4 linked regions of the Struthio camelus genome follow. Each later gene encodes a partner of the first gene's protein in a complex. Links are inferred from orthologs where the notes say so. Each region holds a gene or a part of one and is shown in the gene's direction. Other genes may lie near its edges. The genes, in order: TUBGCP5, TUBGCP4, TUBGCP6 and gamma-tubulin complex component 3.

Region 1 (6,820 bases):
ACATACTATTTTAAATGTATGTTCCATCAGTCCTGCAGAATTTATCCTGTGCTGTGCTGGCAGCAGAGGTGACTAATGAAAGTGATGGAAGATCTGGCTTGTTTCACGCATTAAGTGTGAACCTCACGTAGCCGACTTGTGTAAAGGTTCATGGTAACCAGGCCTCCATCTTATATATTTCATCTCATATATTCCTTCTCCTACTCCGGAATCCTACTTGTCAAATTGTCTTGTCAAATGAAGCTGGGAAACAGGAGGGAGATTGGAGACAGCATACTTAGAGCAATCTCACTGAAAAACGCACTGCTCAGCAAAAGCCTTGTCCTGTAATTCCTCCTTCAATATGGGACTGCATCTAAACATTTACATGACATTATACACACGTGTTCTACATATGACCTAATTCTGTGACCAAGGAAACACTTTGCTGAGATACATCTAGTTCATAGCAGTGTGACCTGGAAGGACAGCTGGGTGGGAAGTGACAGTTGCCACAAAAAAACGGCAAGGAATATAAGGAAAGATATTGAGCTCCGTAGCATTAAAATGCAGTTTTGCTAAAAAATTAATAGTTTAAATCTATTTCTTTGTCAGATAAAGAATATTTATCAGTGGTTACGATTTTTGTCAGCTCCAGCCTTTGTGTCCATCCCCTGCCCAGAGCTCCCTCTCTCAGCTCTGACTTGGCCGCTTCTCCTCAACTTCAAGCATCTCCATTTCAACTTCTAGCCTGGGTCTCAAATCTCCATTCTTCAGGTCTGTGGTGCTGTCTCTTTCTTTCAGACACACAGAAATGCTGACAGCAGTGGTACATATCTGGACTACAGAAAGTATACTGAAAGTCTGAGAAGCAGGACTGTGATTAGGAAGAAGACAAAACTGCTGAGTACTAGGCTGGAGACAGGAAGAACTATGGCAGCGGGAGGAAAAGGAAAGACTGTGGAATTACTGCTGTGTTATATTGTTCTGTATTTTTATCCAAATGTCCACAATTTTATTGGTTTTTCTTTTCATCCGGGAGGTACTCTCTCTTTAAAACTGATGTCGACTAACTTTTGTATTGAAATAAAATACCCTGCCTTGCTACTGGGGAAAACAAAGGTAAAATAAGGCTTATGATGAAAAAACTGATTAGTAGAGTTAAAGCCTTTCAAGAGGCAGGGACCACAGATGTCAGGCATTTGTCCCAATCCCTGTATTCTGTTTTGAAAATCGGCCAGAGATTTCTGATTCACCGGCCACTGATACTGCTCTTTCCTTTAGGCTTTAGCGTATGGGGTTCTTTCCTCACCTCTTGAAACCCCCAATAAAATGGATCAGTGAACTGATCTGGAATAAAATACCTTGCAAAACAGAAAAAAAGATTATTTTAAACCCGAATCAGTTCCCTGATTCAGTTCATTGTGTGGCTTCGCAAACAGCACAATTGAGGGTGTGGCTGTGAGGGGGAAAAGGACTTGGATAGAGCCGGGAAGCAGGAAATCTTTCAGAGAGCATCGTCATTACAGACTGTGTTTCATGGAACTCAGCTTGCCACAGGACAACTATTAAGACCTGGAATCCTTCCTGCTGGGAAAATCTCCCCCCCCCTCCTCTTTTTTTTTCTGATGGGGGTTCTGATACGTGTGGCTGCAATGCTTCTCATACCATGAGGGGCTCAGATGACACACACATCCTACCATCATGCTACAAAGCCTGGAACTTGCTCTCTGAACAGCAATCAAAGTGATGGCACGCGTACGCTGAAGTATACAGAAGTGATAGGCTAAAAAATGCAGTATCATTGTTCAAAGAGCACCTGAAGCTTTAGTATCTAATAACTTTGTTTAAGCGCGATTCGTAGCATTCCAAGTATTGATTACTATGGCATATACCATCGGAGCGATTACCGCGTACAACTTTCGTTAACACCTAAGGCAACAGGTCATGACCCAAAACTTTATTTGGCCAAACACTGTTCAAATATACAGTAAAAAGACTGTTTCTAATCCAAAGTAAAGAATGGATACAGAGAGCATTGGAAATATAGGAATACTAATAAAGTTTTACAGATCTTTTCTCTGAACGCTTAGTAAAGGCTTAGTAACACCCCTGAAGCAGTGCCCCTCTGAGCTTATGTTCATGCTAAGTTTCCCACCTGCACGTGCACTGAGACCATCACTTCCTTGCAGTTTCATACATGAAGCTTAAGGTATGATTCAGCCTAGCAGTATGAAAGCGTATTCGTGTTCCTTAATCTATTACAATTTACAAGAATTTCAATATTATTACTGTTAGGATTATAAAATCATTACTACTACTGTACTTTTACATATTTTTTACATAATGTTGGTAAATGTAATACGTTTTAAAATCCTTTTCTTTCGGGTAACTTCTTTCAAAAAAGCTTTTAGGTTTCGGGTTTTGTTTGTTTTTTTGCCTGGAGTTCATTTGTTGAACCGTATGGAATAAAACTGTATGCAATAAAACATTTGCTTTCCCAAAAAATTATGTATTACTCTTCAAAAGTAGTTGGAAACCATTCAAATTTGTTCACTATACAGTGGAATTCGGATTTAAGTCTAAAAAATACTTTCTGAACAGCCTGACTCCACATTTTCAGACATTATCTCCTGATTCCTGTATGGATTTAAACTGTCCTTGTCCCTCTGCCTTTCCAGCCTCTCATCCCACTGTTGCACTGTCCAGTGAGTAAGGACACGTGGAAGGGTAAGAGTAACTTAAATCTATCTCAATTTAGAACGGACTCAAAAAGAAAATTTCTTTCTCTGGCCTTTGTTTCTACCGCTCAGTCTGATCCATTGGCTGCTTCCTCAGCTGTGCCGATATAAACATTTTTATAGTGAAGAGGAATAAAAGACTATTTGGGAGGGGAATACAATTCAGTATTTTTTGGTAAAATCAAATTAGCAAGACAAAGCCTAAAAATAAGGAAAGGCTATGACAACTGCAGCAGAGCAGGGACTGTTATCTATCGACAGTAAGGATATTTTCTACTAATTTGATTAATTTCTTCCTAGGACGGTCACGGTCAGGACACTGTTACTGCTACACTATAAAACCACATTAAGCAACAGAAGCATTGGAAGTTGCTCAGTGTCCTGTGTACATTTGACATAGAGGACAAAACTGAACTGGTTTCTTACTCATCATCATGTATACAAGTCACGTACCTCTTACAAAATGTCCACCAAAGATTATTTATTCCACTGAGCAAAAGTCGAGGTTTAGCCAGGGAGGAGCACACCCAACTGCTCCAGAATAGCTTAGTAGCAGCACAGCTGCTTTGTGTGGGATGGTCTTAACAAGAAGGTGAGATGCACTACATAGCAGGGTGGATGGTGCTGCAAAAAGCCCGGATCTCTAAGAAAAATGTTGAAAAACAGAGCGCCTTCCCCGGACTGACAGCAGATCCTCCTCGCTATCAAGACACTTTGGTCTGCTGGAGGGAACTGGGCAACGTCGAGCCTCATCTGAGTTACCACAGAGGAGCGAACCACTCTTCTGGGCTGTGACATCCTGAGCGATCGCACCTCTGTGGCAGCGCTTCTGACACAACCGACGCTTCCTCGAAGGGCCGCAGCGGTAGGGCTGCACGGCCACTGCCAGCCCCGACACCTGCAGCCCCCCCCCCCCCCCGGCAACCCGCCCCGCCCCCGCGCTGCCCCTCAGCCGCAGCCCGCCACCGGGCACCAGCCAACGGCAGGGCTCGCGCCGCCCCGCTCACGTGACTACAAACGGCTTCTCCCCGCCCTCGCCTCTTCCCGCCGCGCGCATGCGCGCCCGCCCGCCCTGACCACGGCGGGCCGGGGCAGGGTCTCGCGAGAGGCCGTTAGGAAGCGGCGCGCGCGGGGCGGCGGGCGGCTGCGCGCGCGCCGGCGGCTCTAGCGCGCCCCCCGCTGGGCCGCTGCCCCAGCGGCGCTGCCATGGCGGTGCCGGGACCGCGGAGCCGCTTCGAGCAGGAGCAGGAGCGGGACGTCCGCGCGCTGGTGCGCCGCGTGACCGGCCTGCCGGAGGAGGAGCTCGGCGGCGGCCGGTTCCAGATGGCGCTGAATTTCGCTTGGTCCAACTTCAGGTCAGCGCCCGCCGCTGCGAGAGCCCCTGCGGCCCTCCCCGCCCCCCTCCCCGGCGCACCGGCCGTTGTGGCTGCGCCCGGCCCTTGCCCCGCGCCGGCCTCTGCCCGCTGCCGCCCAGGAGGGAAGGAGCGGCTCTGGGGCCCGGCGCCTCTCGTAGCGGGGCGGTCGGGTGCGGCCTGCCTGGGCTCCGCTGTCGCCTGGCAGCGGGGAGGGTGTTTGGTGGCCGCTGCGCTGCGGCAGTGCCCGGCCGTGGCTGCCTTAACGGGTGTCCAGGATGGCACTGGAGACCGCTTGCAAGCCCTTATCGGAGGGTCGCTGCCTATTGCTCCGGCACTTTTCAGTCCCAGTCTGTCAGGGTTTTTCTCTCGATACTTAAAAAGGGGCCTTTTTAGCATTCTCACCGAGCCGTCCAAAAACTCATGTCTGTCGAACAGAAAATAAAGGAATAGTCGTTATGCCTAAGAGCAAATAAACAGAACTCCACCAAATCGAGATATAGCGCCTGGCCAAGAATACTGCTTTTGAAGGATATCAGTCTGCAAAGACAGATCTGTTTGATGGCATTTAAGCTTACCATAACTACAGTCACCGTTAGCCAGTAATAAAATTAAAGGGATACAGTTACCATACGTTACACTATCTGAAATGTTCTTCTTGAGCTTGCACACACTGTTTTTTTCAGTTATTGTAATTATTGTACCAAGCATCTGCTGGCAGTTTTCGCATAAACTGTTTCCCATTCCCCTTACTGTCAGTTAATTGCTGCCTCTACAGAGCCTTATGTAGTTGCTTGACTTCATGCTCATCGAATTAACATCAATGGTATTTTCATGTCTCATGCCGCTTTAATGCGGTTTTTAGGTGAGCAGCGACATTTACTGCATTGCAGCACTGAGTAGGATTGTGAAACCTATACCTATTATAGACTCAAATAAGACTACTTTACGTAAAACGATAAATAAATATGCGTTGGTCAGTGGCTGGTGTGAGTCTGCGATGTGACAGAGCTGAGTGTCACCCATAGCTGGCATTTTGACAAGTTCAACACTTGGCTAAATATTGAGGGAGGCTAGTGGTGTTCATTGGGAAAGTAGGAATATGGTATTGCAGCTGCTGTCTCACTGTATTTCTTGTATTTACCAGACATATTTTGATTTAATGCATCATAGAATTATATTTGCTGGGTTTGTAGATGCATCAGAATAGTTGCTTGTAGTAGTAGTTATCCTGAGTCTGCAGTTTTGTAATGGTGGCAGGGTTTCTTGAGCTTGATTAAATAAGCCATCGTCTGTCACCTAACTTTACGCTTCTCCCTCTGTTTCAGTGACACAGTTGCTTGTGTTGCTATGTGGTCTTTCCAATTGGGGAAGTGGTGGGTTATTTTTTGAAAAACAACCTGGCAGGGAAAACAGAGGGGACAATGAAGGGTTGACAACAAACAGTTTGGAGTGGGAATATTGGGAAGAGGAACGTGTTTGTGCTGGTATTGCTGTCCAAAAAACCAAGAACTTCAGCCAGAAATCTCGTGTTTCCAACTCATGCACCCTTAGATAACAGTATAAATTCTTTTTCGTTTCGAGTTTGTGAAACGTGTGATTTGTATTATTAGATTCAGTGACATTTCTATACTGTGGTTCTCAGATTCATCTAATTCTTTCCATGCAGTATATTAGTCCTTTTCTATTGATGATTCTCTGACCTTGCCTAAAAAAAATTGAAATACTTTTTTTTTTGTGTTAGAGTCATTAGTTAAAGTGTTAAACAATACTAGGCTAAAGTTACTAATAACTTCCCTTTAGCTTAATGGTTTTCCCTTTCAATGCAGCTTTCCTTTGGTCATCTTTCTGGTCTATTTTTATATATCTTCCAGCTCTTGTACTTATCACCATTTTCCAGTTGAGCTAATGATTTCCTGTGTAAGCTAATGTGCTGAAACAGATGCGATACGCTGTATTTTCTTAGCTTCAATATCAGCTACCCAGTTAATGTCACATTTTATTGTGCTTTCCATTTACTTTAATCTCTTAGTTATTCTTTCCAACATTTATTCCAAAGCCTTACACGCAGCTGAAGTCAGACTAAAGGGGTAGTAGTTAACCAAGTTGTTTTTCTATTTCTTAAATACAGGCATGTCTCTATCCTCCAGTGAAGCTTATTAAAAATCCTTGCTACTTGGCTTGCAGTGTCATTTTCTAGTTCATTTCTTTGACACTGAGATGATTGCCTCTCCAAATTTAGTCCATTAAACTTAGCTTTTGCTCCCTGTTCAGATGCAGTAGTTTTCTTTTTCATCTGTTGCTCGTAGAACAAGGTGATAGCAATTATATGCAGTTGTTACTGGAAGCTGAGGCAAAATGCTCAGTTGACTTTGAGGGCTACATATGGAGAATCTTGAATCTTGATCTAATTCAGATTGCTGTCATATCACGTTTCCAGGTTTTTCTCCATGTATAACTGAAGAGCCTTTTTCCTATTCTAATTTCCTTTGTAAAGTCTAACTTACTTTTCATCAGTCCTAACATGTGCTACTTTCTGTAGTTCATCCTTCGTTATTTTACTTGGGCTCTCTTTTGTTGTTCTTTCTGGCACTCTCCTTTACTATTTTCAAAGCATTTTCATTTGGTTTTAGAGGCCTTTCGATGCAGATATTTTCCCTGTGCTTGTGATGCCAGTCCCAGGTGATTTTTCTGCCTTCAACATGGATCCCTGACAAACATGTTCTTGAGCTCCTCACTCTGGTTAAC
Region 2 (7,504 bases), on another chromosome or scaffold:
TTAAGTATTGTTGAAAGAGACACTAATGAATGTAAGTAATGGGCTATAATGATGATAGTAATAATAATAAGTGATGGCAACAATTTTGTAAGACCATGACACCCCTCAGCTCTTAGTCAAAATGTTTGGTAACAGTTATAATTCTAATATTAATATTTATTTATATTACTTCATATGTGGCCACTCTGCAGTTATACAACGAGAAGACATTTTAAACAATGTTTCTATATAGACTGTGGAGTGCAGAACTGGTTTTGTTCCCCTAAAATCCCAGAATAATTTTTGCACATCTCCATAATCCTAGTGAAAAAAAAAATCATAAACTTGGTCTTGTCTATAAGACCCATTCTGACAAGAATAAAACAAGATTATCACACATTTGCAGTTTCAAAGTTTCTGGCTGAACCTCTTCAAGGTTATACTTGAATCGCTCCTGTAATGGCCCCACCGATCATTGTCTCTAAGATTTCTGGTCTTTGTTACTGTCTCTACTAACTGCTGTTTGTTAGGGTTTGTGTATCTTTGTGTTTAATTTATTGCCTCTCCTGTTTCTTGTCTTCTTTTTTTTTTTTTAATGTTGAATAGCCGCTAGCTAGATAGCCTTTCACAAAGCACTACAGAGGTACCTATTTTTCTCTAGTTTCACCGTTTTAGTTATCAATTCTGTACAAAATTTAATTATTCTTTATTTGGCCTTGACTGCCTAATCACCAGGCTTCCCTGAGGAAACGAGAGCTGCAAAACTCAGTCCTTTATTTAAACTACTGTTATCTGTTCCTTTGCAAGTATTTACTAGCCACTTTCTTTATCGAGAAAGATTATTTCTGTGAATGGTGCTGGGGGGAAAAAAACACAGATTACCTGAAGACTCTGAAGCTGCCATTCTGCAGTCGCTTCAAAATAACCTAGCTGCAGGCTGCCACTGAAACAGGGAATCTCTCATCTCTTGTATCCCCCTCCAAACATTATAGTATATACAACGATCCTGCCTGCCTTTCCAAAAAACCACATGGTCTCTTAGTCCAAAAAAGATTGGGAGATAATAGCATATTCAAACAATGTTCCACTGAAGAATTTCTCATGTATGTCCTCATTTCTGCCAAAGTAAAAGCTGAAGATGGAGTAGGATCTGCTCTAGGTCTCATTTAGCACTAAGAATTCCAAGCCATGACTTATGCTATGACACACAAACCCCTCAGAAAGCTGAGAGAACAGATGTCTTTTGCTGCTCTACACAACATCCTTCATTCTCCTGACTCGTCTCATCCGTAACAGTCATTCCTTAATACTGTTCTTTGCGCTTCAAGTATTCATAGACAATTGAGACCTTTCCCTTTAGATCTCATTTGTCCGGGATAGGTTTATTTAGGTCTGTAACAATGTTTAGATCCCTAATCATTTTTGCTGTCTTCTCTAATTACCCAGTTTAGCTACATGTTCCGTGTTAATGGGCCCAGACTGGCCTGCAGGAATCCAGGCACAATTGCGTCAGTTGAAAATATTTCTATGACTCCTACCCCTCACATATCTGATGATACTGTTTTGTATATGGTCATATGTCAGGCTGTGGCTGCACCAGATCAGAAACGTAGTGGCCAAATGAGACAAGTTGTTGCCCTGGTCTAAAAACGCAGTGCTGTTTCAAAACTGCACTCCCTCAGCCCTGGCCCTCCCATCCTTGTGGCAGGGAACTTTGCAAGAGGCTCTGGGAAAGCTGCAGAGGAAGTGGCTGCCCACTTGGGGGAGGAAGACATGGCCAGCCCCATACCACTTGCTTCTGCAGTGCCAGACCAGCCAGGCAAGACAGGTGAGTCTGGCTCACGATATGGGGTCTCCTCCATCCTATTTGTTTCCAGACTTGCTTTTGCATCCTGACCTCACTTCACACGGCCCAGCAGCCACCTGGGACGCAGCCCTGCATGCACACTCATGCACACGCATGCACACTGTCTGCAGTACTCCACAGGGAAGCCTGGAAGCAACATGACAGAAAAGCCCAGAGCCCAAGTACTGCCCACAGTCGTGGCACGGAGCTGGGATGCAGCCAGAGGCTGCTGGGCTGGCAGAGGAGCCCTCACTCTCCGGAGGCAAGCGAGCCATTCGGCACTCTGAGCTCCCACCATAAAACACTCCCCTTTCTTCCTGTAGCAGCGCAACATCAGCAAGCTTTGTACTGGAAAAGACTTCCTGAATTGGAAAGCTGTGCGCTTGCCCCCAAGTACCAGGTACACTTTCTCTTGAAGTGTCTGTAACGTCCAAGGAAGCCTCAGTTACATGAAAAACCACCCCCATTGCACAATTCTCAGGATACGTTTGTGTGCAGCACAGACTCTGTGTCTTTTTATCTACTCTGTAATGCTGCTTTGCTTCCTCTATATTTGTTCTCATGTAGGACTACCTATAAAGACGCTTGGATTAAAATCTTGAGCAGACCACAATGTTTAGCTGCAAGTAAACGAGTGGGAGTGGGCTGCAGATTTAGATTGTAAAAAGAAGAGACAATGAGGCATCTAGTCTGACCTGTTCTGCAACACTAGCCACAGTTCCTTTCCAAACACTGTGCATCAAACCCATAATTTTTGGCATCCCAAAGGACTCCAGTGATAAAGAAAGTCACTGTATCTCTATTTAAATTGCCTTAATGGTTAATTATAATCTCATCTCTAGTATGATTCACTTCCAACAATTCACTGGCTTCACTGCAGAAATATTAGCGGCTTTTTTAAACCTTTGCTAAAGGAAAGTTCATTCTGCTCTGATAAATTTTATACTCCTCCCTTGTCCCATAGAAGACTCTTATGATTATCACTTTTTGTGGAAGAATGCTACTGTAAGCTTAGTTTCTGCCTGTAGAAGATTGCTATGTTTAGATTCAAGATTCTGTAACAGATTACATGTGTAATACCTATTTCCATAAATAAAATACAAGCATTGCGTTAATAGTACTGTATAATCACCACTAGATGATGTATTTAGTATTTACAGACAAACCATTTTGGGGGAAATGTAGTGAGTCGCCATGCTCTGTATGAATTAAACTATCTATAAACTATCCACAGCATACTTAGCTTTACAATCTTTTGAAAACTGTACGTAAATTAAGCATTGATCAAATCCCACCTGCTAGTGCAGAAGTTTTGGGCAGCAGCACGGGACTGAACCAAAGCCGGGGAAAGACTGCCGCTTATCAAGCAAGGCTGAGGCTGACAACGCTGCACCGCAGATGCAGCTTCCTAAGGGCAGGAGCACCACGAAGTTTTACCAGCCCGGTTGTATACTGCGTTACTTATGCCCACGATAAAAACCAAATGCCTAGCCACCTTCATCTTTAGTCAGACAACGGGGGTTTGTCACCATAACAGAGTTATTTTCTTATACTGATACGTGAGAAACTGATACTGTTGGGGGCTCCTAAGTTATGCCTAAAGATAGGTATAGGAATGTATATGCGCACATGCCAGATGAAATGAGAAAATCCTACTCTTTAAAGGATGGGGTTATGCTCAAGGAATGTATTATTCCCACAAGAAGTTTTGCTACCCGTATTTCAGACCTTATAATGACAAGTAAAGCGATGATCATGAACCAATTACATTTTTTAAAAGGGAGAGTTAACAGACACCAGTTCCAAGCAATATAAATTATACTTAACGCTAATTTTCCCTAAATGAGGAAGTAATGAGAAAAACTGCGCAAGAAGACACTGCCAAAAATAAGAAAATGAAAAAAGTTCGTTAAAGAAGAGTTTATTAGGCAACTCCACAATTTTGAAAGAGGGCAGTTTCTGTCAAAAGATTATCTGGTTTAAGAGACAAAGCGAAGGAAAGCAATATATAACAAATAAAGGGGAAACAGGTAACTATGAAGGTAAAGCTTATATCGATAAAGGAAACATTGGCCAAAAATTAAAAAAAAAAGTCCTCATTGGAGGACTGAGGATTTTGTATTATCTTGGAGGAGAGCTTGCGGGTCAGCCCTTGCCATCGCGAGCACCGCCATATTCGGCCGACTGCCACGGCGGCCCGCAGCGGCGAGGACCGGCCCGGCCCGGCTCGGCCCCCCCTCACAGCCCAGCCCGGCCCAGCCCAGCCCAGCCCGGCTCAGCTCGGCTCGGCTCGACTCGGCTCAGCCCGGTCCCCCCTCACAGCCCAGCCCAGCCCGGCCCGGCTCGGCCCCCCCTCACAGCCCAGCCCGGCCCAGCCCAGCCCAGCCCGGCTCGGCTCGGCTCAGCCCGGCCCCCCCTCACAGCCCAGCCCAGCCCGGCCCGGCCCGGCCCCCCCTCACAGCCCGGCCCGGCCCGGCCCGGCCCGGCCCGGCCCGGCTCGGCTCGGCTCGGCCCGGTCCCCCCTCACAGCCCAGCCCGGCCCGGCTCGGCCCCCCTCACAGCCCAGCCCGGCCCCTCCCCCCCGGCCCGGCCGCTCCCGCCACCTCCCTCGGCGACGCGCCCTCCCGCCCTGTCACGGGCGCGTCCGCCCACGCACCGCCCGGCAGGAGGCGGGGCTGCCGCGCAGGCGCGCCCTCCCCTTCCGTCCCGGCGGCCCCCGCGCGGCTCCCGGCGGCCTTGGCGGCGGCGCGGCAGGATGATCCACGAGCTGCTGCTGGCGCTGAGCGGGTACCCGGGGGCCGCCTTCACCTGGAGCAAGCGCGGCGGCCTGCAGGTTCGGCCGCCCGGCCCGGCCCGGCCCGGCCCGGCCCTCGCCGCCCTCCCCCCGCCCTCCCTCCCCCGGCCCGGCCCAGCCCAGCCTCACAGCTCCTCTCCCGCAGGTGTCCCAGGAGCTGCCGTTCCTGCACCCCAGCGAGACCAGCGTCCTGAACCGGCTCTGCCGCCTCGGCACCGACTACCTGCGCTTCGCCGAGTTCGTGGAGCAGTACACGGGCCACGTGCAGCAGCAGGTGGGGCCCGGCCCGGCCCGGCTGCCGGGGGCGCCGGTGCCCGGAAAAAGCCGCCTGATTCTGGCGAGGGAGGGTCCAGGGCTGCGAATATTGAAAGACGGACCAAATAATTTGTGGTTGCTGCAAAGTAGCCAGGGTTCGTGAGCTGTACGGGAAGCTCAGCCCTCGAGTGCTGTGAGCCTTTGTCATGGTCTGCAAAGGGCGCTGAGATCCGAGAGGCATGCATAATCACAAAGAAACACCCGTGGCTACTTGTACTTGGATAGCTACTCTTAGCCCTTGCGTGTGTCTACAGAAGGGCTGAATACCACTTTGCTCAAGCAGCTCTCCTTGTGACCCAACAGTTGTTCTTTCTGGGTGCTTTCCAGTGGGTTAAGGTGCGTTTCAGGATGTTTGGACCTTTGACTGCTGGTGTAGTGCTCTGTTCAGAGGCTTCATTACTCTTTAGACCTACACTCAGGAGCTGATGTAGATTTTATTGTTTGGTTTCAGGACCATCATCCATCTCAGCAAAACCAGAGTGGATTACATGGGATTTATTTGCGAGCCTTCTGCACAGGTCTTGATTCAGTGCTGCAGCCCTATCGACAGGCACTGCTTGACCTTGAGCAAGAGGTAAAGAGAGACTTGGAAGAAGAGGCTCTCTTCTGCAATTGTAACTTCTGCAATTAAGAAGTGGTGGTACCTAAAGAAGTGACAGGATATTTTTCTTTCCACTTCAGGCACAACTTCCAAATTATTCCTGTGAGGGGTCATTGTGAATGACCTTTCATTCTAAGTAATAAGTCCCCTCTAGTCAGTCCAGTGGGTGACCCGTTTGCCTCAGAACCCAGTGTTATCTATTAGACTGTTGTTAGACGATTGTGACTTACGTTTTCAAAATCTCTGAAGATTTTGAATTAAACCCCTGGTGGATTAGCAGCTGTTGCATCTTGGGTACTGTCACTGACCAATAGTTTCATTGTAAGTTACAGGCTAGAATGAGAGATGACCCAAAAATCTGAGAAAAGCTGTGACAACTAACGGTAGACGGCACAGAGCCAAACCTGCTTTTTTACTTACCTGTATCATTATGTTAACTTTTATTAAGAGTTTTGTTGTTGTTACAGTTTCTGGCTGACCCTCATCTTTCCATCTCGCATGTTAATTATTCATTGGATCAGGTATGTCAATGGTGGTTAACAGATAGCGTTCTTTGGTTGTTTTTATTCTCTGATCCATAAATTGCTCTTTGAGTCTCTTGAGAAAATGGATGGGATAAGGAAGGGTTAATCTGTCTTACTTGTTTTGAACCACTCTGAAACTGTAGTCCCTTTATCACGCTTAGAGGATTACTTGCACTTTGACAGAAAGCTTGGGTCCTCTGCCTTTTACTCTGGCACATTCCTCACTACTTCTGTTTAGCCTGAACTGCTACTGGAATATGGTAACTTCATGCCTCTTGGTCCAGTGGAGGGAGGACGTTCTTTCCAGAGATCTCCAAGTCACTGAACGAGAATAGTTCCTGTCTGAGGGGAAAGTGAGATGAGATGATGGTTTGATTAAACTATTATACTCAGCTGCTGTCTATACTCACCCAAGCATAGTTTTTATCTTCCCCTTGCGTAGCAACCTAATTCAACGTTTTGCTCCGTATTCTGCAGTTCCAGTTACTCTTCCCCTCTGTGATGGTTGTGGTGGAACAGATCAAGACTCAGAAGGTAACAGTGAAACCGCAATTAGTTTCTCTTAACAAGATTCCTCTTAAGTTGATTAAGTATTCTCTGCCCTCCCCTCAGAACTGAATGTTAGGAAAGAATCTGGCTTCAGTAATGTGTGTCCTGTTCCTGGTACTACTACGAGTATTGAATAACTTTATGTCACAAATCTATTTACGCTGAATTAGACTTCCTGTTCTTTTTCATTATTACTATGATCTTTGATGATTTGTATTTTATAATTAATTGCCATACATTTTCATTAATTACCATGGAATGTGGTTGGAATGTATTCTTTTTTGAGTCTGCTTTCTCCCAACCTCCCTTGAAAGAAAAAGGCAGAAGCTAATGTTTTCAGAATCCAGAGATGCTTCCTATTTGCTAAGCGAGATTTTTGAGAGACGCTTAGGTGTAGAACTGCACATAAGCCTTTTTGCTCGCTACAGAGAGTATGTTTCATCTCCCTTTCTGAGGGCCATGTACAGCTTGCAAGGGCAGTTCTTATTAGCTGAAAGTGTAGTGTTTCAGTGTCTGGAAAAAATCTGCACTGGTGTCCAAATGACAGACCTAATCTGCCCACTTTTTCTTTCTGCAGATTCATGGATGTCAGATATTGGAGACTGTCCACAAGCACAGCTGTGGGGGGTTGCCTCCTGTTCGCAGTGCTCTTGAAAAGTATGTAGATGCAGCAATAACATTATTTCATTCTTATGTAGCAGCTAGAGTTAGCGCTGGAGTGTTTTATCTTACTTAGAAAGCAGGTAATGTCTCAGAGTAGGAGTGTCACGCAGGGCAAACTGTACCCATTGTTTATCTATAGAGGTTTACAGCAGCAATTCACGCTTTCTCCATACTTTGGACTGCAAAGGTCTTACTAGACTTGTGAGGCATCTCTTAGGGCTAAGGAAAGTTCA
Region 3 (7,815 bases), about 130 Mb from region 1:
AGTAATCAGTATTGAATAAAGCTACATTTTTAATAGATTGTTGTGAAATCAGATCAGTATCCTATTTCTTAGGTCAAGTACAAGTTTTTTGAGGTTCATCTTATTTCTCTATTTTATATCTGTGAATTTTGAGCTTTACATTTGTGCTAAATTGTTTCCATTTCTGCTAAAGGGTGCTGAAGGAAATGACTTCTTTTCTGCTGTATTTGGATTCATTCTTCCTGTAGCATATAGTTATCAAGCCAACTTAACAGTAATAGCTGTTGGACCAAACAGGAGCCTTGGAATAAATGGGATTTCTTTGCTTTTTGGTTTACTACGAGGATTAGCTGAGTCTCGAATTCTTGCAGTGATTGAGGTAAGAAATGGTGCTAAGCCATGATCATCTAAAGTGCGTGGGACAGAATTCAAATTGAGCAGCAGCGTGCTGCCCAGTAGAAAATACTGGTTATATCTACACTGTCTTGGGTACCTCTGAGTTCATGGCACAAATAGCCCAAGTTTCTGTCTGTGGGGTCAGAGCTTGAGTATAAGCTGTTGCCATCCCTATGCCTGAGAACCAGATCAGACAGAAATACGTACTAAGCTGTAGAGAATCTGCATGATTGAGAAGGCCATCCCTGAACTAATGGTTATGTCTATAGAGAGGTCTATAGAGAACAGAGGTTGTTCTGATGATTTGCCTCAGCTTGGAGCTTAGCTTCCTTGTCCACTTGGGATTCCACAGCTCGGAGATCTTTCTCAAAAATGAACGCTTGCTCTCATCTGGGAAAGAAACGATACGGTCTCTTTTCATCAAATATGGCTGAAAGCAGCACATTGTTCTGTTTATCCTAAAACTCTATAGATTTCCTCTCTGTCTCTGTCCCATGCTGGGCTCTATCACACACAGCTTCCATGTAAATGGCATCTAAATGACTACATTAAAATGGCAGGAATCTTTAAGTAAAATTGTCATAATAGATAAACTGAGAACCCATTTACCCCAGCTTCCTGTTTCTGACAGAGAGCGTGGGAAGGAAACAGAAAGATAAGTATTCGTGGCTCTTTCCCTAGCAGAGTGTTTCCATACCTGATTAGGTATTACCTGATTAGGGATTCCTAAATTTAAGAAGACAGAGGCTGTATCCAGACCATTATGTGTAATAAGTACTGAGAGTGTATAGTCCATGAATCTTGTCTAAACTGTTCAAGAATTCAGTTCTCCTCTTGGCCTCTGCAACATCTCGTGGCTGAGTAACACAATCGCTGTATTTCTGTGAAAAAGTAACCTTTGATTGTTTCTGTGCCTTTTGGTTCTTCTGTAATGAGAAACAGTGAATAATTGTTCACATAAGCGATTTTATTCTTATCTGCTCCAGCAACTATCCAATTAAAGTCATACCATTCATCAGGCTGCCAATTAAGTGGATTTGACATACTTTATTCTGTAGTCTTCTCAAATGTTATTCGATTTACTGTGCTGATACATAAATTGTCTAAGCTAACATAATTTATACATTGATGTACGGTATACAGAAGTAGTTTATTTGCACACTACAAATTAGTATGAAATGCAAAGACTCACTGACAGTCTGGAGGGTAAATTCAGAGATAACAAGGAAGTTAGACATATGCCTTGAAGAAATAACTGAAATACAAAGTTTTATGTTGGTACTATGCGAGTAGCCCTGTAGCAGGATTTTCTAATACCATGTAGATTTTCTAATGTTTGCTTTGCTTTTTAGCATAATTGAAAATTCACTTTCATCCATTTAAAATAAAATAGAGTTGTGTTCTTCAAAATAGTTGTTAAGAATCTTCATATATTATGGATACTTCATAAAATAATTTCTCTGAGCAAGTGACATTGATTTAAACTGAAGCAAAATGTACCACTATAAATGATGCATGAAGCAAACGAGCTCCATTCTTTCCTTCCCTCCCTTTCTCACGTTTTCTACCTTTAATCCAGGATTATTTATTTTCCTTCATAAAAGGGAAACTGAGATTCTTTCTCTATTTGGAAAGAAAAAAAAAAAAGCTTTGTAAGATATTAAAATTAATTCTTTTTCAGAAAAATCGTAATTTTGGCAACTTTTCATTGAAAAATTGGAAGTTGCTCGTTCTTGCTACTAATACTACCAACTTCATTACAAAAACTTGTTTTAAAATATTTCATGTATTACTAAAACAAAGAATGTTTTGATCCTAGAGTATTTTTTTCTCTTGCAATAGAACACAGAGATAAATCTAATGCAAAGTGTAGCTACAGCCTTAGCGGGTAATTCTAGACCTGACTTCGGAGTCTGTGCACCTCCTACCCAAGAAAAAGTACATACATTAAAAATACTAAGAGAGCAGCTTCAGCAGGAATGGAAGATGCTTCGGTGTTCAGGTAAGTCATCTCTTTTTATCTTTAGTTCTTACTAATACACGTAAATTTCTGAAAGATGATAAAATACAGCTAGATTAAAGTCAGTGTGAGTTCTTCACTGATCTGATGGGAACAGGATGAAACTTTAAATGCTTTTGATTCTGCTGCTTGAGCCAAAAAGCACTAAACTGTAACACAGTAACTGTACTCTAAGGAACTTTCAGTATTGTTGTTCCAATATTTTATATTATTTATCCTGAAATGAAACTACCAAAATATTTTAAAGAATCATTATCAGATGTACACTGGCTCTGATTGTTAACTTTTTTTCTGAATACAGTTCAGAATCTGCTAACATTTTGATGTATTTAACTTGACTCCAGAAATACCCGAAACGCAATAGTGATTACTTGTACTTAAAGTATATTCATAAGTAGTTAAGGATCAGGTAGTCTATTTGGATAGGAATCAGGTTAAGCAGGTGTACATGCTTTGAAGCATGCTTATCTAGAAATATTTCGCTATTGAATAACTTATGTTTTTTAGCCGAAATGCCGTAAACTTAAAGAAAAAATGATAAAAGTGGGCATACCTCTCTGAAATAAGATGTCCTCCTTTCTTTCAGAGGAAAAGGTCAACAGCAGTGGTCTGATTCTGATAGAAATGTTCTTAAGGGTTTGGGAATTTTGGTGTGAGCTTGACTAATTGTTGGTTTTTTTTTTTTTTTGCTGTTCTTTTCTAGTGAAGAATGGGATTTCGGGAAATTGACTTCACTTTAGAATGATTTTACGCAGCCGCAGCAGAAGAAAATGTGTTGCTGTTTGGTTTGCTCTTTAAATCATCAAGGAAAGGATGATTGATCCGTATACAGAACAAGAACCATTAACAATTGTTTCATCTTTTAAAAATATGTAAAATGCATATTTTCATGTCTATATCTAGGGAATTGTACATGCAAATTCTGTATTGGTACCAGTTATGCAAGACTGACTTTTAAAAACTTATTCCTGTGCCTTCATCATTGCACGTTGGGTCCGAGGTTATTTCTGACTGTGAAGTCAAGATTGTTTAATGCAGTAGTTTGACTGCATGAAAGCAGGAGTAGTCTAGAAGATAGGAATCTGAAATGGGCAATCATAATAGCCAGAAATATTTTTAAATTGTTCAACATAACATCAAAATGCTTGCACTGCTGCTACTACCACTCTTATAACGGGAGTTTAAACTTAACAGCAGATCCCTCAGACTAATGAAATCTTTCTTCTGATGTAAAGCATTTTCCTAAGATGGACTTTTCTCTTAATTTTTCTGATAAATAATTGCCTCATTAAGTAGTTGCCGCAGTTAAGAAAGAAAAACAGTGAACAGCAATAATGTATGTATTTCCTTGTATTTCCTTCTTACTTAAATGGTTGAGATTAAATTCAGTCCTATACAGGACATAAGAGAGGAAAAGGATAAGAATATTTTGCATACATATAAATTGCAGGTTATGTAACTGAATAAAGCAATGAAAAGATTAAAATAACATCTATGCAAGAAAGAGCCTTTTTAATGCTTTTATCTGTTTACTAAATCTATTGAGCAAGGAAGCAAGAAATCCCTGATTTGACATCCCTTTATTAGCAGTTTCTTCCGTGGCCTCAGCTGTCCTCCGTGTCTTTCTGGTTCCGTTTCTTCAGCAGGGAAAAGTAGCGTTGCTCCCCGCCCAGGTTTAAGTAGGTCACGTTTATGTGAAGCATTTTGAAATGGAAAAGCTCTGCAGAAACAGGGAGCAGTGTTATGAAATGCAGCATTAAAAGGACTACCTTCTGACCCGGGGTTTGCGTGTTTTAACTTCGGCAGTATCGTTAAAGGAGAAAGTCGGTGGCCTGAAAAGTCTTCCTTGAGTAACGGTTTATACTGGAGTAGTTACCACCACTGCCCTTGCCCATTTGCACATACAGATGTGGTGTTTTTATTACATATTTTTCTAAGATGTTGGTTCTAAGATGTGAACTAAGGGACAGTAACTGTGTATATTTTCAGCAGAATTACTTTGCAAATGACAAGCAAATTGTCTGCAGGGTTGAGTTCTGCAGCTCAGGACACAAATATAAAGCAAACGCGGCTGGTGTCTCTAAGGCAACAGCGTGTGCGTATGTAGCGTGAGTGAACACAGCGTGAGTGGAAACGGTAAAAACGAGCATCCCACTAACAGTCGGTTTCGAGACCTAAATCGGGGCGTCGCTTTAAAAACAGCGACCTGCCCCTCGGTCCGCGTTCAGTTTTGTATCCGTACGGCCCCCGGCGGCGGGGTCCTGCCCTGCCCGTCCGCCTCCCGCCTCCCCGCTGCCCGAGACTCCATCCGTTTCGCCGGGGACAGCGGCCGGTTTCGCGGGGCGGCGGCGGCGCCGAGGGGCCTCAGGCAGCGGCGCAGCCCTTTCCCGCCGCCGCCCGTCGCGCTGCCGTGACGTGGCGGCGCTGGCAGCCGCGCCGAGGCGGAGGGAGGCGGCCGGGCGCCCGCGCTACCGCGGCCCCGCGCAGGCAGCCGGCGGCGGCGGCGCAGCCGGCCCCAGGTACGCGCACGGGGCGGCCGGGGTGGGCAGCAGGCCCGGGGGCCCCCTCCGGTAAGAGGGGCCGGGAGCTAGGCGGGGAGGAAGCTGAGGAGCTCCGTGCGGCGGGTGGAAGGGGCTGGGGCCCCGCGGCTGCCCCCCTCCGTGGGGGGCTGCTGCGGGCCGCCCCCGCCGGGCCGGGCCGGGCCGACGCGCTGGTAGGGCGGCGTCCGCCTGGCTGCCCGCGGCTGTGGGCCGGGCGAGGCGGAGCGGCAGCCGGCCTGCCGGGGAAGGCTGCAGGCGTCGAGCTTCGGGGGACGGATGTTCAGGGGCGCGTCCCGGCTTCGCTCAGGCCGATGCTCCGCCTTCTGCGGCGGTCTGGGTGGGGTGGGCGCCTCAGGCGGCCGCAGGCAAGCTTGCAGGGCTGTAAAATAAGCTTGTGATCCAGAGCCGTAGCGTCATTTTTATAACTCGTATTCTCAGCGTGTGCTAGCCTGGTTTTCGTCTCTCTCGTTTTGGGTTATCTCCATCTCAGTTTACGTTAAAACGTACAGGGGTCTCATATGCATGGGCAGTCACAAGTTGTCTCCTCTTTTTCCTGGTGTTTTCTAGGTTTTCGGATTCAACCAGAGACCCAGCATAAAACTGTAATCGCTGCAAACTGACAGTTGGATTTGAAATGGAGAGCATTACGCAGCTGTTTGATGATTTGTGTGAAGCACACCTGGCAGGTTTGCCGTGGAAGGTCCACCTGGGGAGACGGAAGATTTGCAAGAGGAGGGCTAAGCAAAATCTGAAACGGGTTGCGTACAATGCCCTGTTCATGAACCTTTTTCAAGATGAGGCTCGTAAGCTGCAGTCAAACATTTCCAGGCTTCCAGTGAAAAACAAAATTTTGATGCTGTCTTTCAACTTGAGAGTTGCCGGTCTAGGTGCTCAAGCAGATAGGCTGGAGAGTCTTGTGGAAGAGCTGGAGGCAGCTGATTGCTTACCATTTACGGAGGTTAATTCTGTCTTGGATCTCTTAGTACAGCTTGCTGGAACAGGTCCTCCTCAGCTTGTGCCACAAAAAAAGGACTATTTTCTAAACAACAAGTATGTTGGGAGAAACGTCAAATATCAGGGTTATGATTATTATGATGTGAGTGTATTTGAAGCTGATATACAGTCTCTAATCACAAATGAAGAATGTCAGTTCAATGACACTATTCAAAAGACACTTCAGATAATGGAGGCTGCACCTGGAACGGGACTCCCTGCTATAGGGTTATTCTCACAAAACTATCCTGCTGGTGACAAGTTTGAGAAAGAAACACGGGTCTCGCTCTTCGGTGCTCTTGTGCACAGCCGAACGTATGATATGGACATCAAGTTGGATTTACCGCCAGTGCCTGACAGTGCAGATTTGTCTGGACTTGCAATTAAAGTATGATAGCGTTTGTTTTTGGTTTAGAGTGAATGCATGCTTCAATATGCTGTTTTGAAACTTTTTTTAAATACAAGTTAATCTTTTTGTGTGTGTAATCCAAACATGACGGTGGTGGAATTTAAGCTGGAACAGGGATTCTTTTCTTTGTTGAGAGCCGGACAGGCTTTTCAGGTACAGAGATGTAGGGCAGACAACAAAAGCTTGATGTCATCTATAGCGATGTGCAAAAGAAGTCATCTGGCCATAGGCCATATGAAGTTAAGCCATCAGCTATATCTGTTCCTTCCCCACCTTGGTAATCTTTTGCTTACGTTTTTGCCTGCTTTATATATCACAACTTTGCATTGTTGTTTGTTACTGCTCAGACTGATTGCATGCGTTTCTGACAGGAGTGCTTATGTGTTTTGCTATTCAGATTACACTGCCTTCCTCGTCCTATTTCCTCACCCTATGACATCTTAAGCCAGTTGTTTCAGTTGCTGATTTTCACTGAACTCCGTATTTCCCAATGTCCTTACACCTTTTCAATGGGTACAGTTTCTACTGCATCTTTTTTTTCCTTTTGCTATCCATTCTATTTACTTTTGCTATATTATATTCTCATATAACAGTACTAGGTACTAGAAAAATGGATTTGTTCTTTTTTCCCCCCTTTCCAGTTTTTCAGTGTGTAGGTAGGGTTTTTTTTTTTTTTTGGTTTCTGTACTTTTAATCATTATTTTGTTCCTTCTGTTTAACACATGCGTCGCTTTTGCAATTCCCGTTGTTTGATGTCTTAATAGAAGCCTGAAGGCGGACACATTAAAAAGAAAAAACCCTTATGCCATTTAATGTATGCACATCAAGGTAAGTTGTAAGTGAGGGAAGGCAGAGCCTTTTCCAGTAAGCACTGTGCCCTTTCCATCGCACTGGAAAATTTCTTGAGGAACATGCTGTGTTTTACATGGGTGTGTCTTGTCAAGGTTGGCTTCTACTAAAACTGGATATTGCCCTGCCCGTACAACTCCTGTAGAAATGGGCAGGATTTGAGGGTGCGGTGTTGAGGGTATAGGTACGTGCAGCTTTTCTGCATGTGAATAGGTTTAACAAATGGAATTGACCATAGTTAACGAAAAATTTACAAATTTGAAGAGTTGGAGCCTGAATCATTTGTTGAAAAGAAATTCTGAGCAGTATTATTTTACTGGAGTGTTGCATATTGCTGAATGTCCAGAGATGAAATTCTCGGTCAGTTGGCGTGCTTACAAAAGGAATAAGTTTCAGTCTTAATACCAACAAAATGTATTATTTTGATGATGATCATTGTTTTATGTATAGACATTTGTACCTACAGTTGTAACAGATGAAAGAATGCTTACAAGAGAAACTTAATATAGGAGGTAAAAACAGATTAAAACATGGAGTCACTGGATCACAAATGATAGCAAAACATGTTCTTCATTAGCCTAAGTTTCTCCGGTGGTATGATTTCACGTGTGGCGTATGAACTCTTTTGA
Region 4 (6,972 bases), about 8.5 Mb from region 1:
TGATATGAGGAGGACCCACAACTTGACCTTGAGGCTTTCAGTCCTGGCAAATGCAAGAGTTGCTATTGGCCTGAGAAATAGGCAGCAGGGAAATGTGTAAACAAAGTAAGGATAATAAAATGCAAAAACTATCTATCTCTGACGCTGTTACTTTACAGTAAAATTAGCTCCAAAAAACAGTTTGATCTTAAAAAGTCCAATGGCCTCGTGAGTCCTTCTTGCAAAGTACTGCAATCCTTCACGGAGCTTTGTTATTGACTTATGCTATATTTGATGAGTTATTTTTGCCTAGTAGTACTATCACATTTATAGAAATATCTCATTGCAAATACATTGTTACATATTTTATGATTGTTCTGCTACATAGCATTTTTGTATTCAGAGTCTTACTTTGAAAGTTTCCTCCCTTTGTCTACGTCTGAGAAAGAACGAAAGCTTTTTCCATAAAATATTGGAGCCAGATACGTTCAAAACTCATATTGAACAGCTGATGTTTTATACAAAATTAAATATATATTTGGAAATATGATCTCAGTCTTATTACAGAGCTTCGCTCTCCAGGCTCCAAAATTATTGTTCTGCCTTTTTAAAAATAAAATAGTTGTCACAGAGTACCTTTAACTTCTAAAAATGAAGTATTTCAAAAACATTTTTTAGATTTTGACAAAACAGAAGTGTTATTCACAGAATCACTTTATGATGGAAGATGATTTCATGTAAATTTTTCTTGCAGCTCCATATATGTAATATGACCACGGGCAGCACAGGAAAATGCCAAGGAGTAGTTTTATTGAGCTTGCTGGAATGCCGTTTTGCTGGCTGCAGTTATACTGTTCATTAGAATGATACATAATGCTGTCCACTTCTATGTAATCAATAATACTCAGTATTGAGTGGGCTTCAGTGTGTGTGTGTGTGTCTGTATAGCTTCATGTTAGAAGGGAACTCTGTTTATGGCTAAGTAGTGCTGGATAAATAAACACAAGACCTATCAGGAGTCACCACCAGAAGACACTCAACTGCACTGAGAAGCAAAATATTGGTACTATTTCTGGCTTATATGATAGCTAGTAATAGTCATCTAAAATTGTTATTTTATTGTAAATAGTGAAAAAAGAGTTCCAAAATTAAAAAAAAAAAAAGTTGTCCTTAATTTTGCCTTTATATAGCTTATATCATAGTCTCTGGTGTCTCCTAAGTATTTTAAAACACAGGCTTCATTCTAGGTGTTTATGTGAATTCAATAGACTTTCTGTAGGTATATGGCATATATATGTATACATGGAACACATTTCAGGCTCCTCAGTCAACTTAAGAAAATCCTAAATGAAGAGTTTTGAAAACAGAGAGGGGGTAGCAATATTGTTGAAGTTATAACATGCAGGCTATAAGGCAGAACTAATACTCAAGAGGGTTAAACTGGATCAAATTTTCTTTTCATCTGAGCCTTGCTTTTGCACAGGGAAAACATCCATCTGAAATCAAGTCACATCAGTAGAACTAAGGAAGCTTTGTTTCTTGTATTTCCTGGGAACTTGCATTCCTCCTGCCTCCTTCTAGCTACTTTTAACATTATTTCCAGAGCTCTTTGTCTCTTATACCTTCACTTCCTGAGTCTTCTATCTGTCTGGCTGGACAAGAAGCAGCTGGTGCATTGGCTGGTTCAGAGCTAGGTATGTGCTGCCCATGATGTGCGCACCAATCAGCTAATTTGATAATAGCAAACAGAATAGGAAGAACTAAGTTCTCCTTACCTTTCTTTTCATGAGGGCACTAACTTGGATCTTGGTACTCTCTTAACCACAGAACTCTATAAAATGTTTATTAATATCTTTAACTGGCAACGGATCCAACAGTTATGAGAACGTGCTGATGCACAGAACAACTGTATAAGCCTCGTCACCTTAGCCACAATGGGCTAAAAATGAAAAATATGTTCCCAATAATCTAACAGAATTGACTGCTATTACAGTATTTGAGAAGCATTACGTAGGATGCAGATTTGCTGAGGCTGAAAAACTTAAATTAGTCATTGTACTTTTGCTTGCAGACACACATAAGTAGGCCCACTTTAATAGCATGCTCCATATTGTGCTGTTCCATAATGTGTTCTAATTTTAGAGCAGACGCAATTGCCATGGGTAAAACGACCAGCATGAGCAGAAGTATTAGGTTTAATACATCCATTTAAAAGCAGTAACAGGATATTTGTCAGGGACTGGATTTCCTTGGAATCTGAAGATTTTGTATAGCAGCACAACTTCCTGATATTATTGCCACAACTTTTTTTTTCTATGTGAGTATATATACTCCGTATATACTGCTTGATAAATGAATGCCTCCAGGATGAAATTCAAATGTGAAGTGACAGTCAGCAGTAATGACTCACCTACTCTTTGTAGAACCGACGCGTTTCCTTTGGGTAGAGAAAGGAACAGAGATTGTTCCGCTACTTGGTAGGAAAAAACCCACAGTCTCTGAAGCCTTTCAGAATCAGCTTACAAACCCCTTTTTCACATAGGGTCAAATTCTGATAACTTTATTAATGCTGAGTTGTCTGAACGTTAATTTGAGAGTCTAAAGAAAGCATCACTAGGATTGAAAGAGTCATAATGTGAATGGTAAGATTACAATATTCCTGCTACAATATCCCAAATAACCGAAACCCAGATATCCTCAAGCAATTTTAGTTCTTGGCTTGCCGTCATGATTACTTTCTACTAGTAATGCTGGTAATGAGGCAGCAAGGAGTCGAGTTCATTGTTTGCATCCATAATGTTTCCATAAAGGAAGGTCTGAAGTTATATGTTCATAAAAGGCATACACATAAAGTCATGGCTACTCAGAGATGAAGTAGCTGGGTGCCAATACGGGCTGTCAGAAAGAAGTTTGCATAGCAGGAATTGTTTACAGCCAGCAAAGCGCTACGTCCACCTGGCTGCTGCGGCATTTTGAAGCACCTTTACTAGACAAGAGGGAGCTGGGTTATACTGAGCTCCAGCAGCACAGGGATAATAATTATTCCCTAGTGATAGAATTTGAGCTGGACCTAGCGTGAATTGACTGAATACGAGAAATGAAGGAGAGGCATCCTCAAAAGTCAGTATCTCTTTCAGGGAAGTGATAAACTTGAGGAGCAGGTTTGTCAAAGGTCTGGATCCCAGTTAAGAGCATGTTGCCTGAAACAGCCCAAGAGCTAGCTTGATAAGGCAACCTGCTGACTGGAAAATGCCTGAAGCACACCCCTGATTACAAAAGTTACGTTATTGTTTGATGATAAGCTCTGTGTCCAAATGATAGTAACCAATTTGCCAAGCTGTAAGTTTTCATAAAATAAAAACATTGTACTTTTTACATTGAGATTTCTTTAGTGATTTCAGCATAGTTGGCAGATGACAGGTATCTCATCCTTCAGGAGTGGCAAACACCTCAGGGGTACCGCTTTACTCTCCAACGCCAACCACAACAGCAGGAGACTGGGGACCTCAGCGGGATGCATGGGCTGCACATCCACAAGGCAGCGCAATGTAGAGAAGATGTCGATTTGAGATATTGAAGTATTTTGCAGATCTGCATTGATTTGTAACAATTTTATGTGGAAAGGTTATCAACATGCATTGATATTTTTCCAGGCTTAAAAAAAAAAAAAGTAAGTTAATGTCAATTATACTTCACTGTAAATTATAGCGTGATAGCAAGGCCGTGAGCGACTTGCTCTTCTGGGGGCAGAAACGAGAGGATTTGATCTCTTTCGGTTTGGGGAGGGGGATGAAAGGACAGTTTCAACAAGTGGAAAGTGGTCGCAGGGTGGGAATTTTCAGTGTTTGGGGCACCTTCGGCCGGGGTTGGCTTGCGCTGCACGCCTCCGGGGGTGGCTTGGCCACGGCCACGGCCACGGCCAGGGCGGCACCGCCGGGGCAGGCGGACCCAAGGGGGGCCGGGGGCCGAGCGCGCGCCCGGAACCTCGGCGCTGCGGCTGCGGGCGGCGCGGGGGAGCGTGTTCGGCGAGGCGCGCTCCGGTGCCGCCCGGCGCGCAGGGGCATTGTGGGCGCTCGGCTGCCGCCGCTGCGGCTTTCGGCGGGTTCTGTTAAAATGGCGCCTTAGGTAACGGCCGGGTGATCGGAGGTGTCGTCGGGGTCGCGCGCCGGTTAGAGGAGAGGAGCCTCTTCTCCTGTCCCTCCCCTGTTATCCCGCCGCGTCTCTCCTCGCTCCCGCCCCTGCCTCCTTCTCCTCTTCCCTCCCCGCCGCCTCCCTCCCCCGGGCGAGGATGGCGAGTCCGGACCAGAAGTCGCCCAACGTCTTGCTGCAGAACCTCTGCTGCCGCATCCTGGGCAAGAGCGAAGGTAACGGCCCCCCCTCCCCCCGCCGCGCCCCCCTTGGCGGCCGTTGGGTCGCGGAGCAGCCTTCCTCCCCCCCCCGCCCCCCATCCCCGCGCGCGCGGAGCGGGGCGAGGCGGCAACGGCCGGGCGAGGCGGCGGGGGAGGGTCGCGCTGCCCTGGCGGTAGGGAGGCGGCGGCCCTGGCCGAGCGGGCTGGCGAGGGCCTTCCCCCGCGGCGGGCAGCGTGTACGTATCCCCAGCCTGACCCCCGCCCGCCGGCGGGCGGGCGGCTCCGCGCTGGCGGCCCGAGAGAGCGGCTCCGGGAGGCCCTGCCGCCGGCTGGGGATGGGGGGCGGTCGCGCCAAGCCTGAGCTGTGGGCTGCTTGGGCGCTCTGCGGCAGGGAGGTGGGCTTGTCACACCTCCGTGTCCTCCCCCGGCAGCGCTCCCCTCTGCTGTGGAGTGGGGCACTGCTGCTTGGGTGGCTGGAGCAAGGGGTGGCTTATGTATGTCTTCATAAACCTCCATCTTCCTCGGATGCCTCCTCGAGTCTGGTAACTGCTGTGGCAGCTGAATGAAACCTCCTAGATCATCTGTATTTTTGCTGTGATGTTCTAGCGAGAGGTTGAATCTCGGGGTGTTTGCATAATTTCTGTCTGTTGCAAGCAAGGCAAAGCTTCTGTTTTTAGCAGGCGGTTGGAGGGTGGAAAGGAGGAGGTGCATCTGCTATGACTCCTTTCTAAGTGCTATCGGAAAAAATAGCAATGCTGTTTATAAGCATTGCTCACCAGAGAAATTTATGACCTGCCTTGTGTTCTGTCCATTTTCTCGTACGAACATGGAAGAAAGCCACATTTCGTATTAGCTGCCAAGTCTTTTTTGTGTTTTTCTCTTGCCACTGTTTTCCCAAAAGTCACTGGGGGTTACCTTTAGAAATCTGCATGACAGTAACAGTAATAATTTTGAGTACTGACCTATTGTAAAGAACTTAGTTCAGTCTGACTGAAATGTGGCCTATGAATGAATTACTGTTGTCTTTGAAGTCTGGAAAATGAGCAACAAGGTGCAGAGGTATATATATTTGTTGTCTTATTATTTCATATTTTTTCACTCTATCTATTGGAGAGCTGAGAAGCTTGGAGGAGTTTGGAATCTCCTTGCCTTCGCTGGAGTGTTGAATAGGGACCCTTTCACAGAAACATCCTTTAAGATGTTGGTTACTGTTTTCTTTTGTTTGTTTTTGCCTTAAAATCCTGTTCCCTTTCTGTTAGTATGTCTTTTTTTCGGTCTTATGTGGGCTATTCCGTACTTTGCAACCAACCCCCTTCAACAGGATTTGAGTACTTTCCTTAATTTCAGTGAGGAACTATTTATATCCTCTGATAAGAGAGCAGATTCCAAAAATCACTTTTACAAATTGCTCCTGAGTAAAATAAAAATGATATTTCAGCTTGTAATGCTAGCTTCTAAACTGTGTAATACCTCCTGCAGTTTTTATGGAGCCATATGTTTATTTTAGCAGCTCGCTTAATTATATATTAAAGGGTATTTCACATCAGCATACAATTATAAGATGCTATTGGAACCTTACTTTTAAAGCTGTTTCTCATCTTTGAAATAACTTGGAAATATTTTTCTAATGCAATTACAGTATTTTTATATTCAAGAGCACTTCAAACTTTCACAAGAAAATTCAAATTATTGTGCTAATTCCCCCACCTTTAAAAAAAAAAAAAAAAAAAAAAAGGAGGGGGGAGAAATTGACCTGCATTATTAGAGCAGTGGAGACATCTGTTAGGTTCTTATGTTGTCAATGTTGAGTTGCTGAATCCTGTTTTCTTGATGACTCTTTTTTTAGACACGTAGGGAACTACAGTATGAATTGATCTAAGTTTGTGTTGGTAAAGAGCATTTTAGTTAGGTATGTGACATTTGTAAAACTTAAACAGAGAAGAAGAATAGAAATAGAAAAGTATCCTGCATTTATCAATTGTGGCATGAGTGTTAAGGAGAGGCTGGCTATTTCTGCTGACTTTGAATCTAGCCTTCCTTTTGGAGCTGTAATTTCTATATGTTTTTCTCCGTTCTGAATGTTGTAATAAGTTTATTTGCAAGCTCATATATGCTTGCATGCACTAGCCTGCAAAAAAAGCAGGACATGAAATTTTTTTTAATAAGCGTTGAACTTATTCCTATATGCTAGGCTTCCACTCATGTAACTAAAAGTGTTCCCTCCTTCCCCCCCCACCCCATGTGTGTGTGACTGATGAAAGAGGAAGCTTGTAGGAAGTTACCCATAATCGTACTAAGTTGCTGCATGCCACCTGTAGTCTACTGCCTCTGATCACTTGCGGGTTACTTTCAAATTGTTACTTCAAAGATGACCTCAAATTAAGGTGGGTTGTCTGCCCTGTTTACTATTACCCATATCTTTATGCATATGAGAGATGGAAACCTATCCTTACCCTGTTCTTTATCCTCATGTTAGGAGGGATCCTGACACTGAAGACTCGTCCTTCTAACATAAGGCTTTTCTTGACACAGTAAACTCTATTATGTACTTTACTTATCAACGCAGCTATTGGAGAGCACCTCCCTGTTGTTCAGGCTTTTAACTCTTATTTTCTTTCAGCACAGGAAAAGCTTGAAGTATGGT

What was found.
Region 2: the proteins of TUBGCP5 (region 1) and TUBGCP4 are in contact, whole or in part, in a cryo-EM structure (PDB 9I8M), measured with the Xenopus laevis proteins. The link is inferred for Struthio camelus from reciprocal best matches to the Homo sapiens genes TUBGCP5 and TUBGCP4. Residues at the interface, in XP_018102626.1 of Xenopus laevis: His233, Leu234, His235, Leu238, Ile241, Trp242, His245, His300, Met301, Thr302, Asn304, Cys305, Ser308, Val309, Gln312, Ala392, Ile393, Leu395, Asp396, Lys397, Arg410, Leu441, Asp442, Tyr443, Asp444, Asn445, Val446, Gly447, Glu448, Ala449; in XP_018110859.1 of Xenopus laevis: Met1, Ile2, His3, Glu4, Leu7, Tyr12, Pro13, Gly14, Ser15, Ile16, Gln29, Pro32, Phe33, Glu60, Thr63, Gly64, Ile84, Arg87, Ala88, Arg91, Arg101, Leu105, Gln109, Leu112, Pro115, His116, Leu117, Val178, Gly181, Val182.
Region 3: the proteins of TUBGCP5 (region 1) and TUBGCP6 are in contact, whole or in part, in a cryo-EM structure (PDB 7QJE), measured with the Homo sapiens proteins. The link is inferred for Struthio camelus from reciprocal best matches to the Homo sapiens genes TUBGCP5 and TUBGCP6. Residues at the interface, in NP_443135.3 of Homo sapiens: Asp211, Asp212, Arg213, Trp215, Leu216, His219, Val220, Val221, His222, Trp225, Ser230, Phe232, Pro233, His234, Leu238, His239, Ser240, Asn241, Leu242, Leu264, Val265, Thr266, Glu267, Thr268, Gln269, Arg272, Val302, Thr303, His304, Leu305; in NP_065194.3 of Homo sapiens: Glu290, Ala291, Ser292, Lys293, Arg294, Arg295, Cys296, Trp297, Glu298, Arg299, Val300, Gly301, Cys302, Pro303, Pro304, His306, Arg307, Glu308, Glu309, Pro310, Tyr311, Leu312, Glu314, Lys322, Arg325, Leu326.
Region 4: TUBGCP5 (region 1) and gamma-tubulin complex component 3 share a complex: the UniProt entries of both Homo sapiens proteins name them as parts of the gamma-tubulin ring complex. The link is inferred for Struthio camelus from reciprocal best matches to the Homo sapiens genes TUBGCP5 and TUBGCP3.

Annotation. Positions count from the first base shown.
Region 1 is NC_090942.1:148,792,343-148,799,162, forward strand, and holds the start of TUBGCP5 (gamma-tubulin complex component 5), read left to right. Parts: upstream 1-3,808; 5' UTR 3,809-3,926; coding exon 3,927-4,075; intron 4,076-6,820. UniProt on the Homo sapiens protein: Component of the gamma-tubulin ring complex (gTuRC) which mediates microtubule nucleation.
Region 2 is NC_090953.1:213,778-221,281, forward strand, and holds the start of TUBGCP4 (gamma-tubulin complex component 4), read left to right. Parts: upstream 1-4,495; 5' UTR 4,496-4,580; coding exon 4,581-4,658; intron 4,659-4,764; coding exon 4,765-4,893; intron 4,894-5,385; coding exon 5,386-5,508; intron 5,509-6,002; coding exon 6,003-6,056; intron 6,057-6,536; coding exon 6,537-6,593; intron 6,594-7,185; coding exon 7,186-7,265; intron 7,266-7,504. UniProt on the Homo sapiens protein: Component of the gamma-tubulin ring complex (gTuRC) which mediates microtubule nucleation.
Region 3 is NC_090942.1:22,790,454-22,798,268, reverse strand, and holds the start of TUBGCP6 (gamma-tubulin complex component 6), read left to right. Parts: upstream 1-4,815; 5' UTR 4,816-4,914; exon of another isoform or gene 4,915-4,965; intron 4,966-5,502; 5' UTR 5,503-5,569; coding exon 5,570-6,316; intron 6,317-7,083; exon of another isoform or gene 7,084-7,153; coding exon of another isoform or gene 7,154-7,165; intron 7,166-7,815. Other genes in the region: polyamine deacetylase HDAC10, read left to right, coding at 173-358, 2,218-2,377, 3,099-3,124. UniProt on the Homo sapiens protein: Component of the gamma-tubulin ring complex (gTuRC) which mediates microtubule nucleation.
Region 4 is NC_090942.1:157,251,733-157,258,704, forward strand, and holds the start of gamma-tubulin complex component 3, read left to right. Parts: upstream 1-3,956; 5' UTR 3,957-4,267; coding exon 4,268-4,343; intron 4,344-6,972. UniProt on the Homo sapiens protein: Component of the gamma-tubulin ring complex (gTuRC) which mediates microtubule nucleation.